Bombyx mori: one gene and its partner. The protein of the gene in region 2 interacts with the protein of the main gene of each other region in a pairwise test. Links are inferred from orthologs where the notes say so. Each region holds a gene or a part of one and is shown on either strand. Other genes may lie near its edges.

Region 1 (3,372 bases), on a different chromosome or scaffold from region 2:
GATACCTAGTCGGGAGTGGGATTCAGGCGATAAAAACACAAGGTATTTATTATAATTTGGTTATCTATGATGGTATCGATATGTGTGTCTCTGTTCCAATCAGCGAAAAACTAATTTTTTGTTCGTAAAACCTAACCTTCCTAATTCGCGGCAGTAGCACTATCACAAGCTTTTTGCAACAATGACAGCATTTTGTTTGCAGTAAATGGTGGGCTCAGTGGTGGATTTACACTAGGGGCAGTCGCGTAGTCGGGGCAAGTGCCCAGTGCGGCAATTTTTTAGGGCGGCAAAATTTTGGAAGTAAAATTTTTGAAATTAATTCTATTAATTAATCATTTTCTGTTTAATTGATAATACAAAAAATTGAATTCATCCATTATTTGTGAATTATAATTTTGGCACTTTAGGTAAAAATTCATAATCAAAATTATTTAGTCAATTTATTTCCTTGAACATTTAAAATAATAATCGATTTTTCCATTTTCTGGACTTAAAGAAATTTAATTTTTTTTTTCATTTAATATTTATGAGTCACCCTTAGTGCAAAATTTATAATTGTTAGAAAAAAAACAAATATTTATTTATGTTTTTGGAATATATAACATATGATAAAGTTTCTGCAAGAAATTACTTATTTAATTTTGAAAAAAATAGTTATAAACTATAATTTTTGGTAAAATTCCAGTATTGGGGCGGATTTTTTGCCCAGGAGCGGAGTCTAAATCCGGCCCTAAGTGGGTCGATATTTTTACGAGCCGCAATCTAAAATAAAGGTTTACGTGTTAATATAGCAACAGATAAAATATTAAAATAGGTAAAAATAAATTATTAAATACATTTATTTAAATCCTTACCTTTAATTTGCGCCCAAATAGATTCTATGGCATTGCATTGACAATAGTAGGGTGGAAGGCGCATTACATTGTGTCCGGCTTCCTTAGCCATTTCGTCCAATACCTATTTTGGTCTTACAATTTTCGTTAACACGGAGTCATTCCTAAGTCGCAAAAGTAATTTTAATTGTGGTATCTTCATTTGCAAAAAAAGATAAAAGAGAGATTAATTGCATTTTAAAAACAGCTCATAAATATTTGTGTAATTTTTTTGAAACATTTAATTAGACTGAATTTCGGCTATCGTCGTAATTAAGACCCGTTTTTACTGCTAAAATTAAATTAATATTAAATGTCAACAGCAACACTATTAACTTCCTACAGCAGAAAAGAAAAAAAAGTGAATCGATTATTTTCATTTTTTATCTGTAGTCTATACTACAATTTTGTCGACCGCTCTGAAATTAAGGGACGCTATTTCGCGCTTTTTCATTTATTTTTATTGTAATTTCGTTCTAGTTTTAGCTCGATTATAAGTAAAATCTATCGCCCAACATTAAGAATAGCCCTTGATTGAAGCTCGGCTCATAAATCGAGTTATTTTTGTAGAAAATGTCAGGGATAGCAAGTGCACGTTTAGCTGAAGAACGGAAAGCTTGGCGTAAGGACCATCCCTTTGTAAGTTTTTGTTTGTTGAAAACACATTGATTTATGTTTTCGTAAATAAATAAGCTATTCATCTATTTCAGGGTTTTGTCGCGAGGCCTATGAAGAATCCAGATGGTTCATTGAATTTAATGACTTGGGAATGTGCGATACCTGGTAAAAAGGGGGTTAGTATTTCTATATCGTGAAAACTTCTTGTTTCTTATTGATGCAGTTTTAAAGTTATTGAGTTTAAGCATAGTAAATTACGGTAGTAGAAGTTCTAAAACTATAACCGGTTTTTCTTTTTAGACTCCATGGGAAGGTGGGCTGTATAAACTACGTATGATCTTCAAAGATGATTATCCATCAAGTCCTCCAAAATGCAAATTTGAACCACCACTGTTCCACCCCAATGTGTATCCATCAGGTACGGTGTGCTTGTCACTGCTTGATGAAGAAAAAGATTGGCGTCCAGCAATCACAATAAAGCAAATTTTGTTGGGTATTCAAGATCTTCTCAATGAGCCTAACGTAAAAGATCCAGCGCAAGCTGAAGCCTACACAATTTATTGGTAAGTTAAACATAAACATTTTCAATACCCGTATTGCATTTAAAGAACTGTTATGTTTTATAATGTTTAATTTTGTAAAAATTGAATTTTTTTGTAATATATGTATTTGTTATATTACTGAAAATATATCACGAAACTATCCACATATTGTGATACTAATATTTAATTACTGTGACCTACAAAACTTGTATGCCTCAATATTAAATAAAATTTTATTGTTACAGTCAAAATCGGCTAGAGTATGACAAGCGAGTAAGAGCGCAGGCACGTGCAATGGCTGCTGCTGAGTAAATATCAGAATGGGACAATGGAGCGTTAATGAGCTAAGCCATTGCCTAAAAAGCAGTATAAATGTGAAGACAGGAGATTAAAACAGCAACACTACGCTATTTTGGAGATTGTGCTATAACATTATCTTCATGGTATTTTCCAGTTCCAAAAGTATTTAATCCACACAGTACGCAGTGATGGTTTAAACTATAGATTTAAGTAATTTTGAAGTAAATGCAAGTTTTTAATAACAGACCAAATCAACACTATGCTAATGTTAGTTATTTTAATTCTGGAAAATTTTGAAGCCATTATGAATTCATCATTTTATGGCTAACTTGTATTTATTTATTTGTTAAGTTAATAACAGAAATGTTAACAAGCAAAAAGCATCAAAGATTTTAATTACAACCGAATATACAAACATGTTGCTGTAATTCTCAAAATATACGGTTACATTTCGAATCTATGTTATTTTAAAATATTTTTGTATCTTATGTTAGACTTAATGAACAATAAATATTTAAATTCTACAATTTACTGTGTATTTTTAAGTTAAAATTTTTTCAGATTATTTTCACAATCATTCACTATTCAAAGTCAGCGCTTTCTAATCAGCCGTTCAGAGTAACTATTTGGAAAACAAATAATTCATAACTTTATTTATTTATCAAAATGGTTAGTTGACATCAGATATTTCATTTCACATGCTGATATTCATTAAAGTTGGGAGTTAAACAAATATTTGTTTTATTCCAGCTTAAACGCAATCATTATTTAGTTTGATGACAGATATAATTAAAAATTAGCTACAAAAACCTCCATCTAGTAGTGAATAGGCACCTCAAAATACAAAAGGTGAGAGACAGGCGAACTATACGATCACGACCCAACTAGTTTTAAGTAATAACTGAAACTATTTAATATGGTATTTTCTATTATTAGAACCCATTGAACTTGCCAAATAATGCCAGGACTAACTTAGAGATATGAGTTCGAAGACTTGATTTTGTTATACGAGTTTAAGGGACGCCCACCCCATAGATTAT
Region 2 (4,412 bases):
CCGTGATAAGTTCGTAAAGAACTTGTGTTAGAGGTACCCCCTTGTGTAGTGACCATGTCACTTACCACTACACCAGACGGCCGTTACGTTACCTATATTATACATTCATCATCAACATCATTCTCCTGCCCTACTCCCAGTAACCTGGGATTGGCGCAATATGTTTTCTCCTACCATACCTCTATCATAAACCATTTCTTCGCTCACTTCCGCTCTTATATGAAGTCACTTACACATATCGTCTTTTATGCAATATTACACATTATCACATATCATTATAGTATACATTATTAATATTTATTATTATATACTTTTATTGCAAATTGGTTTAATTCAATTGTACCTGGCAGGTGACTGCTAATGTGTGACATAATTGGGTTTTGCCAGTACGGAATTCACCAAATATTTCAGTTATAGAACCAGTTTCTATACCACCTCCCAGTAATCTATCTAATTCCTTTGAACCAGTAGTAAGTTGTATTATTTCAGCCCTGGAAGAATTCAAACAATACTCAATGTAGATTTGGTTTAATTAAAAAAATCTAATACAAGTATTAGCTGCAGTTATTTTCTGTGTCAAGAATATGACTATACATTACTAGTTCGATACTGGGATTTGAGCTGTGTCCCTTATGTCAGGTCCAATAATTGTGTCATTATAGCCTAAGGTAGATACATAGACATAACAATTTATGTAACAAAGACGGGGTACAAATCCTGCAGGAAGGTACTAATTTTTTTGCTTTTTTACATACTTTGCATGTGTTAAATGTTTTCCACAACTTTGTACTAACCTTAGCCATATTGGCGTTTCATTAATTAATAATAAAAAATATAAATAAATAATTTTAAAGGTACCTACCTCTTTTGATGAAACTCAGTAGCTGTTGTAAATCCCATTGGCACCAATTTAGATGCTTCAGCTAATATTTTATCTGCCTTCGCTTCAGATATCCCTTTAATTGTGATTAGCCATTTTTTTGGAGCATAGGCAACAGATTCAACAGTATGATATCCCGCTTCCTCAAGCTTTTTTATATCTCCTGATGTGATGCCATTGCCCTAAAATAAATTATTCCATATTTTTATTATTTAACAAACAAATTATCACAATCCAAATTTAGATATATATATGATGTACACAATGTTGCAATGAAGTAAGGTTGAACGATTAAGTAGCATCAAATGCAATACAACTGAGAATTTGACTTAATATGAGCATAGACTCATGTTGTTCTTACAGAACGTTTTTGTGTCTTCTGGAGATCTATTTGAAAATTCTTAGAGCAGATAAACTTGACCCTCTTTTACCCTTGTTTTTTCTTTTCTTGAGAGATCTTTTATTTGGAATGTAGATATCTTACTCTCCAAGGCAGGATATGTAGATTTACTTAAGCATAAATAGATAGGATTCTTAGGAGCACTTTATTATCATCCAATATGTTTATTTATTTATTTCATATACACATTAAAAAGAAATATAGTTAAGAGAATGGAATAAATTAGAATTTATCTACAGTATAAGTTGCGCATTGTATCCAATAAGTCAGTTCAATCCAGTAATATTTGTAAGCAAGTTATAGCTTGTCACATGACGTCACCTCTAATTTACTGATCAGCTGTGGCCCGCATTCGTCAGCATCTTCATCCAAAGAAGTCGTAGTTGCTGAAGCAGTGGTATTCATTATTGTCCGTGGCTTTCAAACAATTACCGGCTCATTTAAAAATATTCAAACTTCAGTTGCTTATAAATAACTTTACAAGGTTAGGTGTCTTTGGAGTACACGATTTGGATTATAAAATAATTTTAACTAATTTTTTTTTTATTGTTTGTTAGAGCAAACTTGTAAGTAACATACGCGTTAAAATTTCAATCACTATTTTTATTTTTAAAGTCGACACTGAAGTCTGAAGACATCCGCTTATTTTTTTAAGAGATTTTATGACCTGGTAACTAAAACCTTTAAGTCATGTCTTAATTTAGTTTATATTCTTATTTTTATGAAAAATGATAATATGAGGCCTATAAAATCAAAGGCAGCTAAATCCAAGTCTGTCAAATATTCAGGTAAACTGCAAAAATCAGCCCTAAACACGTCATTACGGATCCTCCCGATCCATCGAAGTACTGCTCTTGGTAAGGCCAGTGTTAGCAACACTCCCGGTTTGAGAAGCTGAAATAGCTTTGTTCGGATAGCTACGATATTCTTTAATTTAAAGCACATTTTAAGCACATAAAGACTGAGAATATTACTAATAATCTGAATTTTAAATGATAAAACTTCGTTTATTAGTTCTTAGTACAGAGTAAAAATAAATTTTTTGATCTGAATTTGTTAGAGATTTAGCTGCATTTGTTATAACATGAAAACACTAAAGCGTGTCCAACTAACTAAACAAGATAGCGCCATTGTTAATCCATTTTGCGACATTGAGGCGTTTAGCTGCCTTTGATTTTATAGGCCTCATATGGAGTGAAATAAAATGAAATGAAGATGATTAATTTGTGACATTAATCAATTGAGATGAAATTAAATGAGATGAAATGGGATGAAATATATGATGGGATGAATATGGGATGAAATATAATCTCAGAAAAATGGTGGTCATTTACTGAGATTTTTTCAGTGGACTTTTTGGAGGACCCGGAGAAGTTACGTCCAGCGGCTTTGTTTCACTTTCCCACATTTGTGCACTTTTACAGATATGAAACAGTTAATAAACCACTGCTATTACACATTTAAACCTGAAGAAACACTAAATAGACAAAATGAAACAAATCACCCAACTTTACTCCTCGCGTTCCCGCCAAAAAGTCACATCCGCTTAAATGTCAAGATCAATCATAGATGTACACATGCTGGCCGTTTTCCAATTACAGCACAAGAGCGCATTATGCGGCATAATGCTCAACTAAGCTTCAGCATAATTCGGCATTGTGCGTCACTGAGTCACATTATGCTCTGTAATTAACCTTTACTTAATGGTAGTTTTCTAATTAATGTTTAATAATGGTGGTTTATTAACTATTTAGTATCGGTGAAAGTGCACAAATGTGGGAAAAGGAAACAAATCTACTGGACGTAACTTCTCGGTATCTTCCAAAAAGTGAAACGGAACTACCTAAATAACCGCCATTTTGTTGAGACTATATTTCATCCCATATTATCTTGTTTCATTTAATTTCATTCTAATTTATTAATGTCTTAAATTAATCAACTTCATCTCCTTTTCATACCTTCGCCTTTCCAGTTTGAAAAATGGAACCTATTACTCAAAATCAGCTGTTAGGTGCAACCACTGGTCTATGGGTGCAACTGACAAGTGACAATTGCTCCCTGCGTTGTCGTAAACATAGAAACACGAATGTAGGTAAACTAGGTACTTATTAACTCCATGAGGTAAACATAAACATACAGAATACCGTACCCCACTGCCAACGAATTTATTTAAATTTTTGCGGGTTAGCTTTTTGATAAAATTGATTTAACTCTATTGAACATTTATAACATATGATTATTGGATTTTAATAAGGAGATGGAGGACACTCAAGAAGTAACACTTTTAATAGAAAATCAGAGATTCACGGCGAACAAAAATGTTTTGTGCGAGTACAGCGACTATTTTCGCGCAATGTTCAGTGGAAACTATATTGAAAACGAACGACAGGAAATAAAAATTGATGTAAGGAAAATTATAAATTATGTTAGCTAAATTAAATTAATGTATAAAATGACAAACAATTAAAACAATAATTATGGATTTAACTCTATGAATAATCGCAAAATGTTTAATTTTTAATCATAATTATCTAGTAGTAGTGGGTAGTAAATTGATAATTTTGCGATTCCTTGATGTTAATGGTACCTCAATCATACCTCATTGTGGAACGTTTGGTGAGGGTAGGCTGTTGACAGCTAACTATTCTATTTATAATATTCTATGTATAGAACGTACCGTAGACGTAGTGTGGCTACCCACACTAGCTCCCTCGCCTCCCACACGTTGGACAGACCACCTATTGAGGTATGCGGGATCTGCTGGACGCAAGCAGTGCAGGCCGATCATTGTGGTTTGGGAGAGGCCTATGTCCATTTGAGGACATCTGTGGGAATAAATATCTACCTACAATATGATAGTGTAACTTAAAAATAAAAAAGGACTGTAAACAAGAAGAACTGTAAATTACTGAATATTAAAAAAATTACTCTTTCTATATCCACTTCCAGATGGTTGATGCATACTCAATGAACATGATACTTCAATACATGAGAATAGGTTTGATAGATCTCTCTGAATACTCACTGACAACTATTGGAGAATTGTCAATCGCAGCGAACTTTCTTCAAATAACAGAATTAATTAAGCAGATTGAATACTGTTTAGATCTCCATCTTTCTGTCTCAAACTGG

What was found.
Region 1: the proteins of Rad51 (region 2) and ubiquitin-conjugating enzyme E2 interact in a two-hybrid assay, tested with the Caenorhabditis elegans proteins (2 studies listed by BioGRID). The link is inferred for Bombyx mori from reciprocal best matches to the Caenorhabditis elegans genes rad-51 and ubc-9.

The regions. Positions count from the first base shown.
Region 1 is NC_085114.1:7,031,733-7,035,104, forward strand, and holds ubiquitin-conjugating enzyme E2, read left to right. Parts: upstream 1-1,278; 5' UTR 1,279-1,445; coding exon 1,446-1,511; intron 1,512-1,582; coding exon 1,583-1,666; intron 1,667-1,790; coding exon 1,791-2,053; intron 2,054-2,277; coding exon 2,278-2,344; 3' UTR 2,345-2,855; downstream 2,856-3,372. UniProt on the Caenorhabditis elegans protein: Accepts the ubiquitin-like protein smo-1 from the aos-1-uba-2 E1 complex and catalyzes its covalent attachment to other proteins with the help of an E3 ligase such as gei-17.
Region 2 is NC_085131.1:10,828,589-10,833,000, forward strand, and holds the start of Rad51 (rad51 homolog), read right to left. Parts: upstream 2,811-4,412; 5' UTR 2,615-2,810; intron 1,962-2,614; 5' UTR 1,686-1,961; coding exon 1,602-1,685; intron 1,063-1,601; coding exon 863-1,062; intron 492-862; coding exon 344-491; intron 1-343. Other genes in the region: kelch-like protein 26, read left to right, coding at 3,261-3,368, 3,535-3,684, 4,230-4,412.